Linked DNA regions of Oreochromis niloticus. The protein of the gene in region 3 interacts with the protein of the main gene of each other region in a pairwise test. Links are inferred from orthologs where the notes say so. Each region holds a gene or a part of one and is shown on either strand. Other genes may lie near its edges.

What was found. The genes of interacting proteins can lie anywhere in the genome.
Region 1: the proteins of htt (region 3) and rnf40 interact in binary tests that used the Homo sapiens proteins (3 or more experiments, as listed by UniProt). The link is inferred for Oreochromis niloticus from reciprocal best matches to the Homo sapiens genes HTT and RNF40.
Region 2: the proteins of htt (region 3) and ppl interact in binary tests that used the Homo sapiens proteins (3 or more experiments, as listed by UniProt). The link is inferred for Oreochromis niloticus from reciprocal best matches to the Homo sapiens genes HTT and PPL.

What each region holds. Positions count from the first base shown.
Region 1 is NC_031973.2:19,409,551-19,416,839, forward strand, and holds the start of rnf40 (E3 ubiquitin-protein ligase BRE1B), read left to right. Parts: upstream 1-4,252; 5' UTR 4,253-4,402; intron 4,403-4,807; 5' UTR 4,808-4,817; coding exon 4,818-4,955; intron 4,956-5,077; coding exon 5,078-5,245; intron 5,246-6,250; coding exon 6,251-6,560; intron 6,561-7,150; coding exon 7,151-7,289. Other genes in the region: phkg2 (phosphorylase b kinase gamma catalytic chain, liver/testis isoform), read right to left, coding at 30-155, 307-460, 547-637, 720-883, 1,775-1,840, 1,950-2,004, 2,104-2,279, 3,474-3,568.
Region 2 is NC_031969.2:543,845-551,845, reverse strand, and holds the start of ppl (periplakin), read right to left. Parts: upstream 3,038-8,001; 5' UTR 2,872-3,037; coding exon 2,822-2,871; intron 1-2,821. UniProt on the Homo sapiens protein: Component of the cornified envelope of keratinocytes. May link the cornified envelope to desmosomes and intermediate filaments. May act as a localization signal in PKB/AKT-mediated signaling.
Region 3 is NC_031971.2:34,422,704-34,430,755, forward strand, and holds the start of htt (huntingtin), read left to right. Parts: upstream 1-5,013; 5' UTR 5,014-5,320; coding exon 5,321-5,418; intron 5,419-6,159; coding exon 6,160-6,243; intron 6,244-6,628; coding exon 6,629-6,749; intron 6,750-6,864; coding exon 6,865-6,924; intron 6,925-7,091; coding exon 7,092-7,171; intron 7,172-7,356; coding exon 7,357-7,495; intron 7,496-7,595; coding exon 7,596-7,737; intron 7,738-7,872; coding exon 7,873-8,051; intron 8,052-8,052.

The sequences.
Region 1 (7,289 bases), on a different chromosome or scaffold from region 3:
AAAAATGCTGGGCTAACACAGCGGCTCACCCTAAACGTCTTTCTGGGGCTGAAGAGCCTCACATCCTCCCGCTGGTACTGCCTGAAGAAGCAATGCGCCAAGGCTTGCTCAGCAGTGAGACGGTTAGCTGGGTCCACCACCAGCAGCCTGGATATCTGAGTATCACAAGCACAAAGGTTACACAAGTACACATGAATGATTTAAGAGATGCAAATACTGCAATATGATTTATTCTTTGCACTGGAAATGTCAATATTAGGGTTGCTGCAGAAGACAGTACAGAATAAGCTGACTGTATGAGCTTACCAGATCCTTCACAGTGTCAGACCGGTCGTCCCACTCTGGGGAACTGAACTGATAGCGACCCTCCATTATCATCCTCAGCATCAGCATCTGCTTACGGTGCCAGAACGGAGGCGAGCCGGCTAGTAAGGTGAAGAGGATGACTCCACAGGCCCAGCTTAGAAACACACACCATGCAAATGTTAGAAATGGCAGTAAGGAGTAGTACGTTTGTAAATCTCCGCCGAACAAAGACAGACTCACAGATCGACCTCCTTGCCGTAGCCTGGGTGCATTTCATCCATGGAACACTTTAGTATTTCGGGCGCCAAATAACCAGGTGTCCCACAGAGCTCTGATTATAACAGAAAAGATCGTTTTAAACTAATAATGGATGAACACTTGTCACAGGATCTGCTCATGATGTACAGCCATACCTCGAAGCTTCTCCCCAGGTTGTAGCTGCACGGAAAAACCAAAGTCAGAGAGTTTGATATGGCCATAATCGTCCAGGAGAATGTTCTCCGGTTTCAGATCCCGGTGTACGATGTTGAGGGAATGAAGGTATTGCACGGCCTCCAGCAGAGCTCGCATCATGCTCCTATAGAGAACCGAAATACACACATTAGATCCTTGTTAAATAGATTTCGTCCAAGCATGTCTAAGGTTCACAGTAAACACTGTGTAATATGTTTGTGTAATTTTAATCATCTTTGGCCTGATTATTCTGATTATTCATGGGATACACAACATTGCTGATTGGCTATAAAATGAAAATCTTAGAGAAGCAGAGCTTCTCAGAAATAAAGATGGGTAGAGAGTCAACAATCTGCAAAAACCTGCATCTAAAAATTGTGAAGCAATTTCAGAATAATGTTCCTCAATGAGTTGCAAAGACGACTATACATAATATGAACTCCCATAACCTCAACTCAGAGAATCTGGAGAAATCTCTGTACGCAAGTGACAAAGCTAAAAAGCAGCACTGTGACTGTGATCTTGCACATCTGGAAAGGCAACATCTGTGATGAAATGTATATGCAAGTTTTAGAGCAACATGTGCTCCCATCCAGACATTTTTTCTGGGAAGGCCTTGCATTTTTCAGCAGGACAACGCTAATAACAAAAACTACAAAACTACAAAGAGCAGTTTTATATAAAAACAACCCCCAAAAACATGAATGTTTTGTCGATAAAGTGTTTTTCTTTTTAAAAGCTGCAGCTTTCAGGCTTCCGCTTTCTTGATGTGAGATTAAGTTGGGCGGCGTGACACGAGATTAAAAGTGGGTGGCGACACCAAACGTGTGATTATATTTAGATATTCAGCAGCTCTTTAATGCAGAGCTGCTCGCTGGATAACTTTTATATAAAATCTTGTGGGGTGGCATATTTTGGAATATGGTCTGCAGAAACAGAACTTTATCATGTGCCCAATGCAAAATGCTGCTAGTATTAATTAATACAGATATAGTGCAGTCATGCTGTGGCTCACCTGGTTTCCTTCTCACTTAGGGTAACTTTTTCTGTGAGGTAGTCAAACAGCTCTCCACGTCTCATGCTGACAACAAAAGACAGCAAATTGACAAATGTTGTGGAAAGAAATCTGAATTTCAGGTTGGGAGTGTAAAAAAAATTTAGTTTAATAGTTTTTTTGTCCTCATACTCACAGGTCAAACACCAAAAATATGAATGTAGCAGACTCATAGGAATCAATGAGGGTGACTAAAGGGAATGAAACACAAGAAAGCTTTAACACTAACCAAACTTTATGGAGATAAATTTAATGATTCTTTAACAAAAGGAGAGAGAACAGCAACGTACTGATGGAGGGGTGTTCCTTCACCATGTTGAGCACTTGGATCTCTTTCAGCGTGGAGATTTTCACCTCCTCCAACTGCTGGATTGTCATCTTCTCAGCTGTGATCTCGATAATCTTCACCGCCAGCTCCTGGCCCGTGTGTCTGTGCACACACCTGCGCACCACACTGCTCACACCCCTGACAATGAGCATACAATAAAGTGTATTTTCAACATGATCAAAAAGGACACACGGTGCACAGCATTTGCCCCGTTCCACTTACATGTTTCAGATCAATATGCTAATTTTAATATTAGACAAAGATAACCTGAACACACTTTTTTATATGATGATTTCATTTATTAAGGGAGAAAGGCTATCCAAACTTACATGGCCCTGTGTGAAAAAGGTACTGCCCCCCTAAATCTAATAACTGGCTGTGCCACCCTTGACAGCAAAAACTGCACTCAAGCATTTGCAATACCTGGCAACGAGTCTTTCACATAACTGTGGAGGAATTTTGTCCCACTCTTCTTAGAATTCAGACTTGCTGGTGTGTTTTGTATCATTGTTCTGCTGCATAACCTGTGTGGTCTTGAGTGTCAGTGGATTAACAGATGGCCGTACATTCTCCTTCTGGATCTTCTGGTAGAGTGCAGAATTCATTGTTTCATCAATTATAGCAAGTTATTGAGGTTCTGAAGCAGTAAAGCAGCTCCTGAGGCAAGTTAGGCCTGCAGTTCTTTAAATATAGCTCTGGGTTCTTTTGTAACCTCCTGGATGTTTTTCAGTGGCATCTTGGAGTCATGTTAAGGCCGGCCACTGGGAAGGTTCACCGCATTTTCAGGTTTTCTCCATTTGTGGACAATAATGGCTCTTACTGTGATTCACTGGAGTACCAAAGGCTTGTCTTTGTAACTCTTCCAAGATTGATAGATGTCAATGACTTTGTTTCTCAGCTCTTTCTCTAGATCATGACATGATGTGTTACTTTTTGAGATCTTTCAGCCTACTTTAACCTGTCAGAAAGGTTCTGTTTAAATTATTTCTTTATTCAGCAGTCTGGCAGTAATCAAGCCTGGGTGTGGTTTGTTCTCTTTAAAAAAATGTGGTTAGTCACGGTCAATTTGTGATTTAACAAGAGGGTTAATTACTTTTTCACGCAGAGCCAGGTAGGTTTGGATAACTTTTTTTCCACCTTTACTAAACAAAAACTGCATTTCGAATTTACCTGGGTTATCTTAGTCTAATATTTAAAATTTATTGATGATATGAAACATGTAGTGTAACAAATGTGCAAAAACAACGACAACAACAAACAAATCATGAAGGGGGGGTGGAGGGGATGCTTTTTCACAACATCACAACACCCAGGCTATTTTGGTTGACTTACCTGCCAATCACCTCTTTAGGATCATACTTCTGATAAAACTCCTTGGCCCCCACCCAGTCTGGTAATTCGTCCCCAACAACGATGTCTTTGGTCATGTTTACAGCTTATGGAGCTGTTAAAAGAACAGTCACGTGTCTTAGTTTGTACCAGTGGTTCTAAATAAACAGGAACTAGTTACCTAACTCCTGATAAGGAAGTATTGTGCCCTTAGCTTTAGTTTAAATCTAGTTAGCAGGTCAAACTTGCATTTTACTTTCTATATATACACACATCTCCTCTACCTATTGTTATTTAGAGGTCCATCAAAACGGTTATGTAACTGTCTTTGCTATGGCTTTGATACAGCAGCAGGTTCACTGACCGAACAGGAAGCTACTCACCATTTATGCAATCAAACGACAAGACAGAGAGGGAAACGGGGAATCAGGAAGCCCTCTCGGGGTCGAGGAATCTATTGTGAAGCCATAACGTGTGCGATTAAGCGGCTACAGTAACGAAATTAGCTACCGTTAGCGTTAACAGCAGTCAGCTATCACCTGAACACTGTTTACATTCTGGTCACAGTCCTGGAAGTTATTATTACAGTGTGCCGCAGCAGCGCCCCCGAGAGGCCGGAGGGGACGTGGCAGCATGGTTTGCATTTTTGAGGTCTCGAATACACTCTCCAGATAAATTCAAGTAGCTGCACTTCAAAGCACCGTATCCCAAGGAAGTAGTCCGTGTTTTGAGTGTGTTTTTTAATTTACAACTTGTTGTTACCAACGGGAATACTTGATCTTTACATTGTGTGAATTGCAAGCAATAGGCGGCGCTAATGCTCTCCCGTTATTGTAATGAATATTTAAAACCAACGAAGAAGAAGCGTTAGCTGCATATTTCCTGTTGCTTCTCTGATGTCCTGACTTACGTTTCAACTACTGGTTGTTAAGGTTTGTAATGATAAAATTTCTCTTGTAAAAAGACACACATATAACTGTTTAAGAACATTTTGTGTATGTAGTGATGGATAATGAATAAAAACCCCGACCACCTCGGAATCTTGACTCAATAACGCCGTCCGTTAGCCTTAGCGTAGCATTAGCATGGTTAGCGGTAGCAAGCTGCAAGCTTGCAAAAGATCTTTAATCTTTGTAGCAATATGGAATTAAGATGGTTGGTAGTTCTGCAGGCATGCCTTTATACAGTAATAACTCGGCATGTAAATGCTAGTGGAGCAGAAAAGTGAACCTTTTAAAATTAGAGGTCTGCATTTTTGATTTAAGGCTAACGCCGTCCCTTTGCTGTCACAAAATGAATGAATTATAATTCTTCATGCCTTGCTTGATGTAATGCAGGGAAGGAAAGATGTCAGGTGCTGGGGGAGGAAAGCGTCCCCCAGGCGGGGACAGCCCCCCTGGCCCACCTGAAAAGAAAAGCAAGAAAGAAGAGAAGACCACCACCACGCTAATTGAGCCAATACGCATAGCTGGAGTCTCCTCTACGGTGAGTTATATGGTCATCACGTTCTCAAGGCACAATCTGTCATCTATTTTTGCCAGACAACATCTACAATCCCTAACACTCATTATTTCATTTCTCTGTTTGTATGCGTTTGTTAATTACAGGAGGAAATGGACATGAAGGTTCTCCAGTTCAAGAATAAGAAGCTATGTGAACGCTTGGAGCAGAGACAGGCGATGGAGGATGAGCTGAGAGAGAAAATTGAGAAGCTGGAGAAGAGACAAGCCACTGATGACACTACCTTGCTGATTGTTAATCGCTACTGGTCACAGGTAATTCTGTGCATTTCATTATATTGTTAGAATCCATTCTTGAATTTTAGTTTCCACTCTAACCTGATTTAAGAACTGGCACATTTTATCAAAACCTCATGTAAACACAGCAGTCAGATGAATCTATTTTTAGCACGCTTGCATTTGGATGAGGCAAACCAATTTGGCTTATATCTGGTAATTACAGATCTTAACATTTTTTTGTGCTACCACTTATAGCAGGCACATGTGCATGTATAAATTAAGAAAGCATTGCCCAGCTCTTCCATCTGATGGATTGTCATCTTTTTATAATTTGTAAGGATTTGAGTGTTATAAAAATAACTCCCAACAGCTATATAGGTGTTATAGATAATTCTGGAACCTTAGGCAGGTTATATAGTAGGTTTCATCCAGATTGATCAGCATGTCTAGGAGGATAGTTGTTATATACATAGGTCCAGGCTCCTCCTCCTATGTATCCTGTACATGTTTTCCACCTGCCTGCCTTAACCTGATTGTACACATAGTGACAGGTATTGGTCGTTTATCAGGATGTTTAGAAGTTATTTAGCACCAGGTTCTCCACAAAGATGAGTCCACAATTGGAGAGGGGCGGCCGTTGTTCGGCTGTCCCCCAGTCCCCCAGTCCAGTCACAAACAGCTCTCCTTCACCGGTGGGCTGTTCAGTCATAATCCTGCAGATGGTAGCTTTGCACCTTTGGTTCCTCAGCCAAGCACTATACACCAAATGTCTGAACCTGCAGTTCCTCTTGTACTGAGCAGGATTACTATTGCAACTACACATCATCAGTAGGGTCTAATCCCAGCTCACGTTCCCTGTTGGTAGGTGAACAATCCAACGCTTGGTGAATTCTGCTTCACAATGATAGGAAGAGCCAACATCGAAGGATCAAAAAGCAGTGTCGCTATACGTATACTTAGCTGTACTAAGGCTTAAACTCATGGTAATAACTTGTAAAGAGAATTAACACCTTCTTCTTTCTATGTCTATCTGACTTGCAGTTGGAAGAGAACGTGCGCATTCTGCGTAAACGTATTGAGCCAGATCCTCCAGTCGTTTCTACCCCTGCCCCACCCTCAGCAACCATCCCTGACCAAACACCAATGGAGGAAGATAGTGTCAACCTGGCTTCGCCTTCTGGCGTGCCTCCCCCTCCTGTGCCAGAGGCCCAGAACGAGGGTGAGCGGCCAGAGCAGCAACAGGAGGAGCGTCAGGAAGAGCGTCAGGAAGAGGAGCAGCAGCAGCCCCCTCCTCCCACTGGGTCAGATGATTTACTGACACCATCAGAGTCACAATCGGATTCAAAAACAGGTTAGCAATTTTTTAAAATGACAAATCGTCTGTCATAGACTATTGTAATCTGTTTGCCTTATTCATTCATTCTCAATTTAACTTAGTGTATCTTTATGACTTTCATTACTCATGAAGTTACATCAGTGTGAGTCACTACTATTTATATTGATAGCTAATTTTATGCAACAATACTGCACTTCATGCCTTGTAATTTAAGGATATTCTTGTTTATTGTGTATTGACCATTTTTCAAGATGCCTAATAAATTATAGTGAGGCAAAGGGGAATGATAGTGGGCTAAAGAACGCAAGTGTTGCAGCTTTTCTTTCATCTGTTAGCATGTACTGCTGGCTACAAACTGCAGAATTTTAGTGTATTATCAAGACTTTAGTCCCAGTCTACACAGTCTGTATTTGATAGATTTGCTTTTTCTTTGCTTTGTATTTAAATAACAAATTTGAAAATGCTTGTTTATACCAGACTGTACCACATTGGACCACACTGTGCTAGCAATATATACTGTTTTCATTTTTTTCAAAAAAAATGTGATATTTAAGAATTCTAGTAAATTGTTATTTGCTGACTTTATCATTTTTACATATGTGCAGATACATCACCGCCACCTCCTCCCCTGAGTGAAAATGCCAAGGGTTTCTTGTCGACTCTGGAGCAGAGCAGCGAGGAGGAACTAACTCTGCACCTCCAGGACCGCATGCAGTTCAGCAAAGAAGCCATCGCCTGCTTGGT
Region 2 (8,001 bases), on a different chromosome or scaffold from region 3:
AACCCATCACGAGTAGGAAAGAGTGCCAAAGCATGTAAAGAGTTGAATATGTAGTCAGTCTCAGAGTCCTGAATGGGGCTACAAATGCAGGATAAATGTATTAGACTTCTTTCCTGTGCACTGTTAGTTTCAACAGTGACATGTTTGTACAGAAACTGACATTATGTTGCTCGTACAGTTACCAAGTGATCCAGGACCCAGCAGCAAGTACTCTGCACAGTAACCTGTGCTGTTCATTACACATAGTGATAATGAGTCATCATCTAACTGCATCTTTTCATCATGTGATTTCATCCTGGATCCTCATCCAGTGCACTAAAACACACCCTGGTGTCAGACAGGAATCAATGACCAGCGTCAATTTGGGTGAAAATGAACACAACTCACTACAGTACGGCGTAAACAGCCACCATTGAACAACACAGGAAATCATTCCTGCCTGTGGTCATCTCCCTGCACAACTCCTCCATCTAATGCATCCATCACTGTAGCACACAGTGCAATAGTTACACCTGTTTGTACATCGTCTACAGTGAAAATACCAAAGTAACAAAGTTCAGCGTAAAATGTCACTCGTACATAGTTAATCTCTTCAATACTCTGGATATTTATAATTGAGCCGTTTGTTTATATACTAGAGCAAATTCTTATATTTGTAACTTTGTAATAAATTGTATCATTTAATTTAGTCCAGTCTGTTATTGTTCTTGTTGTCTTGGAGCGACTATAATCACATCGTTTCCATTAATAAAGTGTTCTGATTGATAACATCAGAGCTCATGAGTCTGACTGTGTATGCTGGCCTCTCCAATGTAAAAGGATAAGGTGCCATTAGGTAACTCCCAGCTGACATATTCCCTAAAATGAGGGAAACTAGCCCAGCGAGTTTTTGTTTCATGCGCGCACACACACACACACACACACACACACCTATCATTTGTTACATAATGCACGATGCAGTAATTTCAAACCTGAGCTGATTTTTACTTTAACACAAACAAGTCTGAACTGGTGCGTACTGTCGAGCTGTTCTCTGCAAGCTCATCCAAAAAAACCAAAAACCCAACAGGCTGAGGGGGATTTCTGACTTTAGTGACAAACATGAAGAAAACGTCTCATCTACAACTTTACACTCGTCTTCTAAACATCACAAAACCAAATACATGAGAACAAAGGAGCTTCACATGAACGCAGCGGTCTCCTGCATGATTTCAAATGATTAGCACTACTTGTTTGCATAAAACTTGTGTAAAAGTGGAGAGTTGTTTTCATTGTGAATTCAGAACAGATGTGAGCTCACCCTGCTGTGGTCATTAGAGCACCAAAGAGTGCACAGTGTCAGATTACCAAACAAGAAGCAGTTCTGTGCTGATCTGCAATGCTCCAACAGTTTAACCTGCTCTGCTTTGTATTGTGTGTTTCTGGATCCTGGAGAGGTCACTGGCTTTAACGCAGTGTTCTCACTGAGGCTGTGTTAGTTCTGAAAAGGACCTGGCACTCGACAAACATAACTCACGTGTTTCCACAGGGAGCTGGTTAAATCAGAACCAGAACGCTCCAGCATTAGGTCACACAGGGTGTGGAAGCCTGCTGCTGTCACTAAAGCATCAGTGCAAACCCCGAGACCTTTTCTCTGTGTGTAGACTGAGACGTGCTGAACATGCTGTTAACCAACTGGAAGGTTGGTGGTTTGAGCCCCAGCTCCTCCAACTGGTATGTGAATCATCTCTGCACAGACACTGAGCTCTGCAGAGATCACTATTCCCCAGCTTCGCCGCCTCGCCTTTACAGTCGTCTCTGTTCGCTGGGCTTTGACTTAAAACCTGGCTCATCAATGAAGAGAGCTCATCTTTCACACACGCACACCTGCACCTGGTGTAGGACAAAAGGGTGGAGCTGCATAATTCAGATTCTATGACAATCTGTTGGTGGTGATCACAGGGCATGAGTGACTATAATGGCCGATATGCACTAAGACGGCTGAAACAGTGAGAAGCCAATAAATCACTGTGCTGGTGTGAACAAAGTTGCTTCACATGAACATGAAGCCACAGCACCAAAACAAGGACTCCTTTGCTGTTGGCGCAGGTGTGGCAGCAGGACAAACATCTCTCACTGAAACACTAATGTGTCTGATAACTGCTGCTTGACAGGGAGTACCATCTGTCTCTAAGCCAGCGCTCTGTAGAATCATGATTCAACACCCTCACTTTATCACTTTCACGACGGCCTGTACCCTGGACAACGCCAGTAAAACAGCTGAAGTGACTGGGCTTGGTGGTGTCATTATGGGCGAGGCTGCAAGGAATTCCTCTCACATTGTGTTTCTAAGGAGGGCAGCAGAAAACTTATCGAACCAGTTACCGCAAACTATCCACGGCTTATCAGCCACACCCACTCTCCAGTTAATGCACAAACTATGTAGTCTAACTCCGAGTTTCGGCCCTGCCCGTCTGTCTGTAGCTCATACAGACACCACCTCAGAACGTTTACATCCAGCGATCCATCAGGACACGATGATCCAAGCCTCTGTTAAAGCGCTCGGACGGACAGCTCCGCGTTCTCTCCATCTGCTGCTTGTTTAGCGCAGCGCCGCGACCGCTCTGTGTGCACAAACAAGTAATACAATATGCGCATATAAACTGCGAGCTCCAGTTCAGCCGGGCTCACCCGGGTGTGATCATTTAACCATCCTTTTGTCTGAGATGTGGCGTGAGTCCGCTGATCGTGTAGAAAGGTGAAATCACTACAAGTTAAGCACAGATGAAGCTCGCGAGCCGCTCTGAAGGGCTCGAGCGCAGAGGAACAAGCTCCTACTTACGTCTGTTTCGGCTGCGTTATCGTGGTGGACTTGCTCTTCTTCTTCAGCATGATGAAGGTCACCTGTCAGCGGCTTTCGACAGAAACAGACCCAGCAGTACAGGTGAGTCTCGGCTGCGCGCGCTCGCTGCGTCGCTGTGTGTCAAAGTCAGATATGTCCACGCGCCCTTCTCACTATCAGAGCGTGCCGTCCCAGCTCAAAGTACCAGAACCAATGAAGTCAGCGCTTCCAGCCTGACCTTCTACCTGTCAGTACCGCGGGGTGGGAGGGTCCAAACAGCGAGGCCCCGCCTTCATAGCCTTCCCCTCTCACACCCACGCAAACACGTTGTGTGTTCCACTGAAAAAGTGAATGAATTCTACAGTAAAACGAGGCGCGTCCATTTCAAAGTTTCAGTTGGGAGTAATCAGCAGTTTGTGTGCTGCACCTGTAACATCAGCACGGCTGCAGAGGCAGCAACAGGCTGGCTCAGGTATGCAGCCGACCAGCTGCTGTATCAACGCGTAGTGCCAGCTGCAGACCGCTAATGGCCGTGCCCACTGCAGAACGGGCCTGTGTAAAAGCGAGATGTCCTGGTCAGAATGATGTATCTCATTTATTTCTTTCATATAAACATATGCGCGAACACCTGCAGGCTTGGCACACCCACAAGTTATTAAAAGTGCTGGGAAATCTTAGTTTTGACTCATAGCACCCACCTTGGGTGCTTGGGTGTTAAGGGAGTGACCTCTGTTAGCAGCATAATATTCACTTTTATAAGGCAAAAAGTATTTGGAAATACTTTGAGGAACATAAGAGTTGTTGATGTTTACTTCATATTCTCCAGATCTCTGGCCAAGTGTCTGTAGGATGTGCAGGTTTGATCACTGGAGGCCCCAGCTGCTACAGGTTGTTTCAGTGACCTTAGTATTGGGGTCACGGCAAATCAGAGCCAGTTTCAGACAGCTGGATCTCTCTGTTCACTGCCTTTTCCTGCAGTGTATGTATCTGAAAATACAACCTGTCCTGTGTGCATGACTGGCTTTGTAGCTCTGGGTGGGGTGTGGCAGCTAGGACGGCTCTGGCTGAACCAGTCGGACTTGACACTGTGCTCCTCTGTGTAAATGCTGTGTTGTGTTTGTGCAACAGTGACAGTGTGACTGCAGGAATTCACATACAGAGTAAAGGCATTTCATGACAACATTCACTCTGTAGTTTTCACTTTGACTTTTTAATTCAACTCACTTTATTTATCACACTTTACAACCTCCATAAATAAAAACCTATAAACCATGGAGGTTTATAGGTTTTTATTTATGGACTGCAAAACCCTGATTCTTTTTTTCAGTCTGTTTGCTGCTGAGCTCAGGATCGCCGTCCTGTTGATGACGTAGGTTGGTCCAAGCTTTGGCTGTGGGACAGAATACTTTGGCATCATGGTCCACTCAGTTGCTGCTAGGTCTCCCAGGTCCTGTGGCTGCACCTCCTCCATCGTGGTGACAGGTGGTATTGGGTGTTTGATTATCTCCAATGTGGCACTGTGCATTAGAGACTAACAATTCCCCTTTGGTGTGGTCTGTTCAGAGCACATTGTTGCCAAAGTTTTGTGGTTTGTACATAGCAAAGATGATCCTGCTGCCATTTTTCAGAGAGAAGAGGGTTTTTCCTGGAAGCCAGCTGAAGCTAATATTATATTGCGCTACAATAAAGTTCTGGGAGTTAAAAGTGAAAGATTACAATAACTGAAAAGCTGAAAAAAGCTGAAGCAGCACTTTTCTTGGCCCCTAATAATAATACTCCTTAATAATGGAGCACCATGTGGGAGGTGTGCTCAGGTGTAGAGCAGGTGGGTCGATCCCTGTCTGCTCCAGTCTCCATGCCAAGTAACCGTGGGCAAGGTGCTAACCCCACGTTGCTCCCCGATGCATCCATCGTGGTATGAGTGTGTGTGAACGTGAGATAGGAAGCACTGGCATAGATGAAAGTGTTTGTGTGAATGAGGCATGTTGTGTAAAGTGCTTTGAGTGCTCAGAGTAGAAAAGTGATCGATAAGAGTCAGTACAATGTTGTCTTGCAGTAACTCGCCTCTAACTCGTATTATTTTACCTGGGATTATGGACAGTCTGAACACGGCCTTGTGAAGATCAGCTGAATGTAGTCCTGGCCTGTGTTAACACTGTCACTTTAGTCTTTTCCTATTTTGAAGCTTTGTAAGGAATCAAGACGAGTCATTCATCTCCTGTGCTGGAAATAAAAGCTGTTATCAGTAAAAATGAGTATGTGGTCCTAAACAAGTGTGTGTGTGTGTGTGTGTCCCTTTCATAAAAACAGCCAAATGTTTCTTGATGTAGCAAATAACCCACAGGTGTCAAAAATGACCCGACACACCTCCTCTCTCTCTCCCTCCAGCATCATTAACATCCCAGGGTCGAAGCCTGCGTGGACCAACCAAGCCAGGGATCATCACCTGTCTCCACCATCATTCCCACAACTGAACATCCTTAAAACAAAAGAACTCATAATAGACCCCACCCTCATAATCCGGTCCCACACCACCACACTCACAAACAGCTTCTTCCCCCCCACAGCCCACCGCTGCCCACCCATGAGTCTGAGCCATGGCCTCAGTAACCCTTATCATTCAGGCCACTCACACATGGACTCCTCAGACCAAGTCCTTTCAACCTGTTCTTCTACTGTGTGCCTTTCTCTTGTTTTGTATATAATCCTCATGTTTTGTACATACTCCTCGTGTTTTGTATATATTCCTCCTGCCTGTTATTTATTCCTGCTGTCTTACTATTTATAGTTTATCCCTGTACTGTGTAGTGGAGCACCCACAATTTCCTTGTACAGGTATAGTGACAATAAAGGGCTATTCTATACTATTCTCACAGCCTTTCTTTCTCTTTTCACATCACCTCCACTCATGTCACAGATGAAAGTAATCATAAAGTTACTAATCAGGTTCCATCCAGTATTTTCACAGGGCTAACACAGAGAGACCCGCCACCCTCGCTCCATAAATGACCCGACAATCGTCAAGTGCAAAGGCAGAGCCTTCATGCTACGAGGCAGTACTGCTAACACTGGGCCATTACATGTTTTCATTTGCTAGATGCAAAGTTATCATTTAAACCTTGCCTGGATTATTTATTTCTGCGTGTTCCATTGTCTTCCTTGCACTGTAGTTCCTTTTCAGTCGCTCAGTGCCAGGCGGATTACATATGTAACAAAAATGTATGACCTCATTCATGGCCATGGGTGTAATTTCATAATCATGTCACAGTCCGGCACTTTTTGTCGGTGGTTTTGATACTGAGGCGTGAACATTTTTAGTCCAGCAGATATTGCCCCACCCCTGGGTGGAGCCTGGACCACATTTCAGTCAGACCACCTGCACCTCACCATCCTCAGCAGCAGCCAGTACGTAAGGACTCAGTTTTGACCAGACTGTCCTCTCTGTGTTACTCCTGTGAGCCCAACTCACTGGCTCCCCACCCTCTGACAACTTCCTTTACACCTGCAGAAGGACTAACTAACTACTAACTAACCCGTCTGACACAAAGATGATCAAACACTGGTTTCATTGTGAACAGACATCCACCCTGTCACCACAGCATTCCTCTGCTGACAGGGTGAGAGTTAGTGACACTGACACTGAAACACGAACAGCATGTCAAGCTCTTCCTGCAACTATCCCTCTAGTGCAGAAGCACTCTGACAGCTGGGTGGGTCTCATTAATTTGTCCATTTCAAGCAACCTTCTGAGCATGTTTTATTGTAAACCAAGAAATAAGATGAACGACCCACACTTGGCTTTATTTCAGATGCTCCAATAAGGGTTTAATGAATAAAAACTTATCTTTGTAACACTTTCAGCAGCACATCACGCTTGCATAGCTTCTCTCAGAGTCTTCAGATGAAGACCAGCAGTTTTTAGGTTTCAGTCGTAGAGGGTTCCAAGTTGAAGATGGCAAATTTGACAAGAAGCATACTTATTTTGACCTTTTTCCTTCCTGTGTGTGAATTTAACCCCCAGTGTGAGACTGAAAAAGCTGAGTTCTACTGGGACTGCAGAGGTTTGCTAGATTTGCCATCATGTGAGTTCCTGTTCTTCCATAAAATGAGCCTTAGTTTAAAGGATGCTTTGACTGAAGGAGGCTCAAATTCTCAAAGATTCAAATCAATTTTATTTATGTAGCTCTAAATCACACCAATATTCACCTCAAGGTGCCTCATTGTAAGGTTAACCCTACAATACAGAGAAAGCACCAACAAGAGCAAGCACTTTGGCGACAGTGGGAAGGAAAAACTCCCTTTTAACAGGAAGAAACCTCCGGCAGAACCAGGCTCAGGGAGGGGGCGGGGCCATCTGCTGCGACCGGTCGGGCATGAAGGGAGGACAACAGGACTAGGACATGCTGTGGTGTTTAGGACATCTTGATAATTACAAATTACAGTAGTGCAGCCTCGAAGTAAATGAACTAGTTTTTTTGAGCTCACCGTGAGAGGATATTCCTCATTAGAGACATCGCACAAACATATTTGCCTAGTACACACATTGAAGGACATATGCTTGTCGACTCCAAGACACAGATTAAGAGTCGCACTGTAAAATAAGACTTTGGGAGTATGAATTGGATTCACAGTATCTTCAATCTTCCCTTCAGTTATTTAATTTTTCATTATTTTTTGCTCGCTTTATTTTGTTTCTTTTTTTTTTGTAACTTTCAGCTCATTTCAGTTTGATTTTATTCTTCCGGAAATGTTCAGTGTGTTTTGTTAAAGTTTCATTTAAAAAAACGCTTACAGTGTTAGTTTTCATGACTTTCATGACAGATTTCCTAGATGGAAAGTTTCCATTTTCACCACCATCCTCCAGTTCAGGGCTGAGTGTGAAGCAGCAGGAATGAGAATCAGTATGTCCAAGGCTACAGTCCTGCGTCTGTCATATCTCAAAGACCTCATAGTACCATATTATCTAAAACAGAGCCCTTCTCTCTCAGACTGCTGGTTTATTTGTGGTTCCTAGACACGGCAGAGCCTTCAGCTGTTAGTCCAGTCTCCTGTGGAACCAGTCTGTCCAGTTCATTTAAGGTTTTTTCTTTATCAGAATGTGAACTTCAGCATGTTTTTTTGCATATCTGTCAAACTGGCATGTTTTGGATCATCGTTGCACAAAGACAACCCAAATTAAT
Region 3 (8,052 bases):
CTCTATTCCTCATCTTTTTTTCTTTGCTGTGTTCTCTGGCTTTTATTTCCTTTTCTGACTGTGTCCAGTTGTTTTGAATTATTTAGCATTTTTTTTAAGCAGACCAGAAAGCCTCTGGGTGTTTGGAGACATTTGACTGAGTTGGAACAGGAAGACAGATGATAAAGGAGGCGATGTTGGAAATGTAACATAGACCTGGCCTGCAGCTGACAACTGCTTCTTTAAAAAAGAAAAAAGAAACAACAACCAAAAAAAATCTCTTGCGCCTGATCCGCTGGTTCAGATGTCAGCCTTCTTTGGCCTTTGTGCTTGGCTGATCGCTAGTTGGCCTCCATTTATCCTCCCTAGCTATAACTGTGTTTGAGATACATGTAGAATTTGTTACTGATGATGGCCACCTTCAACTACTATATTCACAGCTTGGATGTTGCTCTCTCAGGAATGACCTGAGACAGTTGCTCATGTGCGTAGAGGCCGAGAAATTAACAGTCAGTTGAGTTCTGAATTGCAGAACCAAGATTGTTTTACATTTTCCTACAGCCCTGTTTCCTTCCAAGTTAATCAGTCATGAGCAAATACATTCTCTTTACCTTCCCTATTTATATATATATTAAAAAAACATGTTCACCACTTGCTTATTTCTGAGGCATTTCAGGCCCATTTTATGAATTTAGCTTTGGAGGCAGTTGCTGTTTACTTCCACCTTCTGTTTTTAATGCTGTGAATACCCCACCTGCACATGTTAGTTTTATGTGTATAACCTGAATAATTAATCAATTTTTTTGTTCTACAGAAAAGCAAAGTCTGCATTTTGTCAATAGAGCGCTTCAGAATCATGTAGGAGCTTGATTCAATTCCTAACACTTTTGAAACTGTATACATTTAAAGTGGCACACATATAGGTCCCCTATGTAATTGCCTAATTTGGAGAAGTGGCTTATTCTAAGAGTCCCCTGTTGCACATTCCATTATCAGGAATCAGATGGGTGCATCTAGCTGTTGCTGGCTTCTTGTCATTGAGTTTCTTAGTGTCTTTATTTCGTTTGTTGTTGCTCTCAGGCACATTTGAAGCTGATTTTGCTTGCCTCTGTAGATTTTAGCCTTTTAGCTCTTTAGCCTCAAAAACCTTGTAAATTATGTATTTCTAACATGTAACTGATTCACTCATTCTCACAAGGAAACTAAACTGTGTTCACCACCCATGCCTCTATCATTGTTTTGACCATCTTTACTCTTACACCTTCCATATAGCAGTGAAGAAATTCTGTTTTTCGTTCCATTGCACTAATGGTGTGTTTTGACAATGACTATGGGAAAAGTGTCTTTAACCTTTTGTTGGTTTGTTTTTATTTCTGTTTTTTTGCCAGTGATACCAAAAGCAACATAAACTAAATTAGAATTTCTTTGTTTTCTGAAGAATTTAGTAGAGAAAGACTGACAGCCTTTATTATATGTGCCAATAACCAAGTTAATTTTTGACATCCTGCCTTTTTTCAGCCTCTTTATCCTTCCGTCCATTCTTAGAGAAATTCCTTTGTGTAAAGGAACTTTAAACAGCTCAACAGTTTTGAATGTCCGCACTAAGTGCATTGTAATGCCTGTTTAGAAAAATGCATATGTTTTATTACTCAAGCATGTATCAGTTTGTAATACTTCAGGTTCCTTGTATATGTAAATTATGACCTTCTAGTGCCAACATATCTCACTGGTATCTGAGGACATCTTTATGAATCGCAAGGCGACCAGCTGAGTCTTTGAATTCATAAAGCGCATTCCTTCTCTTCTGCCTTTCCTCCAAGACTCTGATGGTGAGTCAAGCCACTTCCCTAACACTGGGATGGCGCTCGCCAGCGACGTTTCGAAGCGCAAGTTATTTAGTTTACTCAAGTCTAGCTTTGGGATGACCACCGACACAGGCTGGGAGGTTTTGCGGGGTTTCACGTTCTTTTGTCCAGATTTGTCAGTTAAGTAATATTTTCGAGAAAGGGAGGAATGATGGATGGATTATGGGTTTTCAAACTCGGCCTGGGACTTCTTGATTTTTCTTCTTTATTTTGTATCTGTACAGTCATGTCGTTCAACCACTGCAGTCATTGTTAATTCTTGTACAAGTTGTATCACTGGTTGTTGTACCATATCTGACATTTGTAATTATGAAATAATACACTGCCATTTGTATAAAAATACTTGTCTTGACTTATTTGTTCTGTGTTTTTTGTTTTATTACTGTGAATAAAAGGCCATCAATTGGAAGAGTATAAAAAGTAATGACCTAGTGCTGGGGGAAAAAAGTATTTCCCCCCCCTTCCTCTTTTCTTATTTTTTGCATATTTGTCACCCTTAGATGTTTCAGAACATTCATCAGATTTTAATGTAAGACAAAGATAACCCGGGTAAATACAAAATCAATTTTTAAATGATTTCAGTTTAAAGGCATAATGAAGCTGGGGATGGGAATCGATATCACTTATGGATTAAAAATCCTTATCGATTCTCATTGGCTCTGCTTTGAAAGTCATCACCATCACTAAGCAGCATATCTGGGGCTGTGGTCAGTATTCAATCAGCTTTAACATTACTCTGAGTTCTTGGCTATCTTAGCATTAGAATGCTGTCTGTGGAGATGCTTGCAAAGAGCCAAAGTTGTGTAAGCAACAAAATTGAGTTGTTTCTGTCCTGGATGCAGTTTGCATTTTGCCATCACGCTCCATATGTGGAAAAGCAATGCTACTCTTGCTAAATCACAGCCTTGTTAATCAAGAAATCATGTAAATAGAAACCAATCTGAAGTAGACAGAAAGATCTCAGAAAGCAACACATTGTGCCTCAATCTAAAGAACTCAAGAACAATTAAGGAGCAAAGTCATTGACATCTGTCAGTCTGGAAAGGGTTACATAACCATTTCTAAGTCCTTGGGATTCCAGTCAACCAAGGTGAGAGCCATTATCCACAAATGGAGAAAACTTAGAAGAGTGGTGAACATTCCCAGTAGTGACGAGACTACCAAAATTACTCCAAGAACTCATTGACAGCTTATCCAGAAGGTCACCAAAAAAACCCAGAACAACATCTAAAGAACAGCAGGACTAATTTGCCTCAGCTAAGGTTAGTGTTCATGATTCAACAGTAAAAAAAAGAGACTGAGCAGAAATGGCAACTATGGGAGAATTCTGAAGGGAAAACCACTGCTGACCAAAAGAACACAAAGGTTCATAAAAAGAGCATCATATCAGCAATCAAACATAGTGATGATAATAATGCATTTTATTTATTTATAGGTGCATTTAAAGAGCCTCTAGGTCACCTTACATGAGTACAAAAAGAAAATAAAAATAAAAACATAAGGTAAATGAAAAATAAACAAGTATGAAAGCAAGTATAAACGCTAAACAAGGTAAAAATAGACTAAGACGGAATCACGATGAAGGTTATGCAATTTTGAATAGATGGGTGTTAAGATGCAATTGAAAAGTGGAGAGAGAGTTTGTAGTCCAGAGAGCTGGTGGAAGTGCATTCCAAAGTCTTGGGGCAGAACAACTAAAGGCTCTGAGTTCCGTGGAAGCGAGCAGGTGGAACAGATAGAAGGGAAGCTGAAGAAGAGTGGAGTGTACAAGGGGGTGAGTACATATGGAGAAGATCAGAAAAATATAGTTGAGCAAGGTTATGAAGCGCTTTGAAAGTAAGAAGCAGGATCTAAAGATTGACACGGAGCCAATGGAGCTGTTTAAGAACAGGTGTTATATGTTTAGTAGATCTAATTCGGAATATAATACAAGCAGCCGATTTTGAACTAACTGCAATTTATGGAGAGATTTATGAAGCAGACCATAGAGAAGACAATTACAGTAATCTAAACGAGATGGAACAAAAGCATTGACAAGTATGGCGGTACTGTTTGGAGTGATTGAAGGACAAAGGCGGTTAATATGATAAAGATGAAAATAAGAAGACTGAGTGATATTATTTATATGTGAAGGAAAAGAGTGCTGTCAAGGATGACACCAAGACTCTTAACCTGAGGGGAAGGTGTGACAACAGAGTTATCACTGGATAATGAAAAACTTCTGGTTGGAACTTTAGTCAGTTTTGATTTGGTGCCTATTAGAATAAATTCTGAAGTAATGGTAGTATGATGGTCTGGGCCTGCTTTGCTACTTCAGGACCTGGGCAACTTATCGTAATTGATGGAATCATGAACTCTGCTCTCTACAAGAAAATCCTGAAGGAGAGTATCTGGCCACTAACTCAAACCCAAGCACACTTGGGTCAACAGGACTATGATTCTACACACACCAACAAGTCCACATCTACATATATAAAAAGTTTTGGACTGCCTAGTCAAAGTCTGGACTCAAATCCAATTGAAATGCTTTGGCATGACCTTAAACAGGTCGCTCATGCTAAAAAACAAAACAAAAAAAACCCTCCAATGTGGGTGAATTAAAACAATTCTGCAAAGAAGAGTGGGCCAAAATTCCTCTACAGCACTGTGAAAGACTCATTAGCAATTATCCCAATAAATGCTTGCTAATAAATGCTAATATTGCAATTAGCTTGATCTGAAAAAATAAATATATAATAATAAAAAAGAAACGAAATCAGGAGTAAAATACTTAAAGTTAGATAAGTTATATATTTTATGCCGTTAGACCCTACATTTGCTCCATTCATTACCTGCTTCTTCCAATTTGTCAGAGATCATAGCACTAACAAAAGAATAAATGATCGAATAACTGTCAGGAGGGGCTGGTTTCCGTGCATTTGTTTTTCCTTCCTACGGTCTCGTATCAGTTGACACCCACCGTTATCAGCGCACACACTAAAGTCAATACTTGTAAATTACACTTGAACAAATCTGTCCTGCACTCCAGATTTCAGCGGTCTCGTGACTGCAACAATAACAACAAAAGAAAAAAAAATCACAGTGTCGTATTGGTTCTTTCTAAAGCCACTCAACAAAAATCCGGACTCTGATTGGCTGCTAACGTTGCACCCTTCCCCTCTCAGTAAACCTGTCACACAAGCTACTTCCTGGTGTGATTGGTGGGAAAACGCAATGCTGCATCAAAGATGGCTTATTATCAACCTGCATTTGATTTATTTAGGAATAGTAGTGTGAAAGAATAAGTGGCGCTCTGCGAGAAGACAAGGCGGAGAGCTGGTGGTAGCTGTCGCGAGCAGTGTTAGCACTCTCGCCGCACTACGCACCTCTTGCTCTCTACGTGCGCAAACGTTAAGTTGCCCCTACTCTGCTAGCTAGTTAGCTCACATAGTAAATATTAGCTAGTCAAGCAAGCTTGCTTATTGTAGATTGCTAAAATGGCCACCATGGAGAAATTGATGAAGGCCTTTGAGTCTCTGAAGTCATTCCAGCAGCAGCAGGGACCACCGACCGCCGAGGAGCTCGCTCAGAGGCAGTAAGTTGATATTTGTCCAGCGGTGACAGAATAGGAGGCTAGGAGCCGTTAGGCTAGACCCTTAGCTTATCGTGCTAGCAGCGTTGGTCCATCTCGGGTAGATAACCAACGTTTAATAGATGGCTTCAAGTCAGCTGCGCTAAAACGTAAACTGGGAATGAGGCTAAGGTGTTATTCATACTTCTCAGCCCATTTAGGTACACTTGTTGCCATGCTTTAGATCGCTGCTTAGCGATGCTCGCTATCCTAACGCGATCTGATTGTTTGCTAGCCTGATTTTAGGATCAGACCAGCTGAATGATGGCCAACACAGAAAGCTGATGCCAAGAACACGTGAAAGGGTCAGGAGGATCAATTTCAAGGACGTAATTTTGTGTATTCAGTAGCAGAGGATGTTGAGTTTCATAATAATATTTAAACTGCTTATGCAAATGGTTATGAATGGAATGATCAACATAGGGGGGCTTCCTGCACTTGCGTCATCTCCAAGAAGTTTTATGACAGATCTAGTCCGTTGTTGGTTGAAACACAGGCATAGGAATTCATTTATATAGCTTTTAAAGAAATGAATTGATGGGATCCGTGCGTAAGGAATACAGTTTTAGGGGATGGCTCTGATTTATAGTCATTATTTTAATCACTGCATTCCTTGGCTATAAGCAAGATACCTAAATTCAGTCTTTCTTTGTGCACACACACACACTCACACTCATCTTTTGCATTTTGTCTCATCTTCCACAGAAAAAAGGAGCAAGCTGCCACAAAGAAGGACAGGGTGACCCACTGTCTGACAATATGTGAAAACATTGTGGCTCAGTCACTGAGGTATTCCTTGTTATTTGATCTAAATATGTGTTGGTGTGAGTCATATCTTTTTACATTATTTTAGGGTTTCCTATCACCTTCACTAACTGTATAAATGGTAAGATAGCTTTTCTGTAAAGAATGTCTGAGGTGCGGGGTGATGTCATTTGCAACCAGAGCTGCTTCAGTAGTGGCTTTACACCTGATTTCACTGATTTCTGTGATATTTTGGGAATGAAGTGGGGACATGTTCATCTTTACATATAGTTTTTTTTTTCTTTTCTGTAATGTCCTTTGTGAAAAAAAACGTATTGCTCCTCAGTTTTGTGAGTTTATGCTAGAGGGTTAACAGTTTGAGAAAATTTAATAGATTTTTGGCTTTTTCTCTCTCTGGTCCTGGGAATAGAACATCTCCAGAGTTTCAGAAACTGCTTGGCATCGCCATGGAGATGTTCCTGCTCTGCAGCGATGACAGTGAATCAGATGTTCGGATGGTAGCCGATGAGTGCCTGAATAAAATAATCAAAGTGAGCAAAATCTGCAAGATGGGACAAATGAATAAGAATATTAATGACCAAAATTGTCAAAATAAGTTTGGTGTTGTTGGTGGTGGTGTTAATCATTCATTTTGATAATTTTCAGGCACTGATGGACTCCAACTTGCCTAGACTGCAGCTGGAATTGTACAAAGAAATTAAAAAGGTAAGGCATGAGGTTGTAAAGTGAGTATTTTTTAATACACCTTCTATGTCTTTACTCTCAGACTATAGGCCAGTGTTAGATGTGAAAAGAAATTGTTTGACGTTTCTTTAGAGAAAGTACGGTCAGATGTTAGACATGGTAATATCAGTGCTTGTGTGGCTCAATAGAATGGTGCCTCTCGGAGTCTGAGGGCAGCTTTATGGAGGTTTGCTGAGCTTGCCCACCTCATCAGACCGCAGAAATGCAGGTATGCAAACTTATAATATTTTTACATTATTTTTAACTATTATCCACAACATGTCTTAGTTTAGAGTCTGCTGTGGTTGTGGGGACAACATCAAAGTATCATCTGTGCTTTTTTTACTTGCATATTCTTTTTTTTTTTTTTGCTTTTACTTCATGTATACTTCTTCTCTCTCCCTTATGGCGCAGACCTTACCTGGTCAACCTGTTGCCGTGCCTCACCAGAATCACAAAGCGGCAGGAAGAGACTGTGCAGGAGACACTTGCTACAGCAATGCCCAAGATCATGTCCGCCCTGGGACACTTTGCCAATGATGGTGAAATCAAGGTATTCACCTGCTGTGTGCTAAAGTAGAAAAAAAAAAATAAAAATCATAGGCCAGTGGAAACTTTTTTTTGTAATCATCATCTAACTATTTCTGTTTTAGGTGCTGCTGAAGGCATTTGTGGCTAATCTGAAGTCCAGCTCCCCGACCATTAGACGGACAGCAGCCAGTTCAGCCGTTAGTATTTGCCAGCACTCCAGACGCACTAGCTACTTCTACACCTGGCTCCTTAATGTTCTTCTGGGTAGGTCGCACACAGGCTCACTTTCAAGCACAGACTGTGGACATGTCTTTTCTACCCTTTTACATTTTACTAAGATCATTTGTGTTAACATTTGTGAGCTAATTTGGAATTTTTGCCCTTTTCGCCTTTTTCCAGGTCTGCTGGTTCCGGTGGATGATGAACATCCCAGCCATCTAATACTGGGGGTGCTGCTAACCCTTCGTTACCTGATGCCTCTGCTGCAGCAGCATGTCAACTCCACTAGTCTTAAAGGAAGCTTTGGTGTCATGAGAAAGGAAGCTGATGTACAGCCAACACCCGAACAGCTGCTGCAGG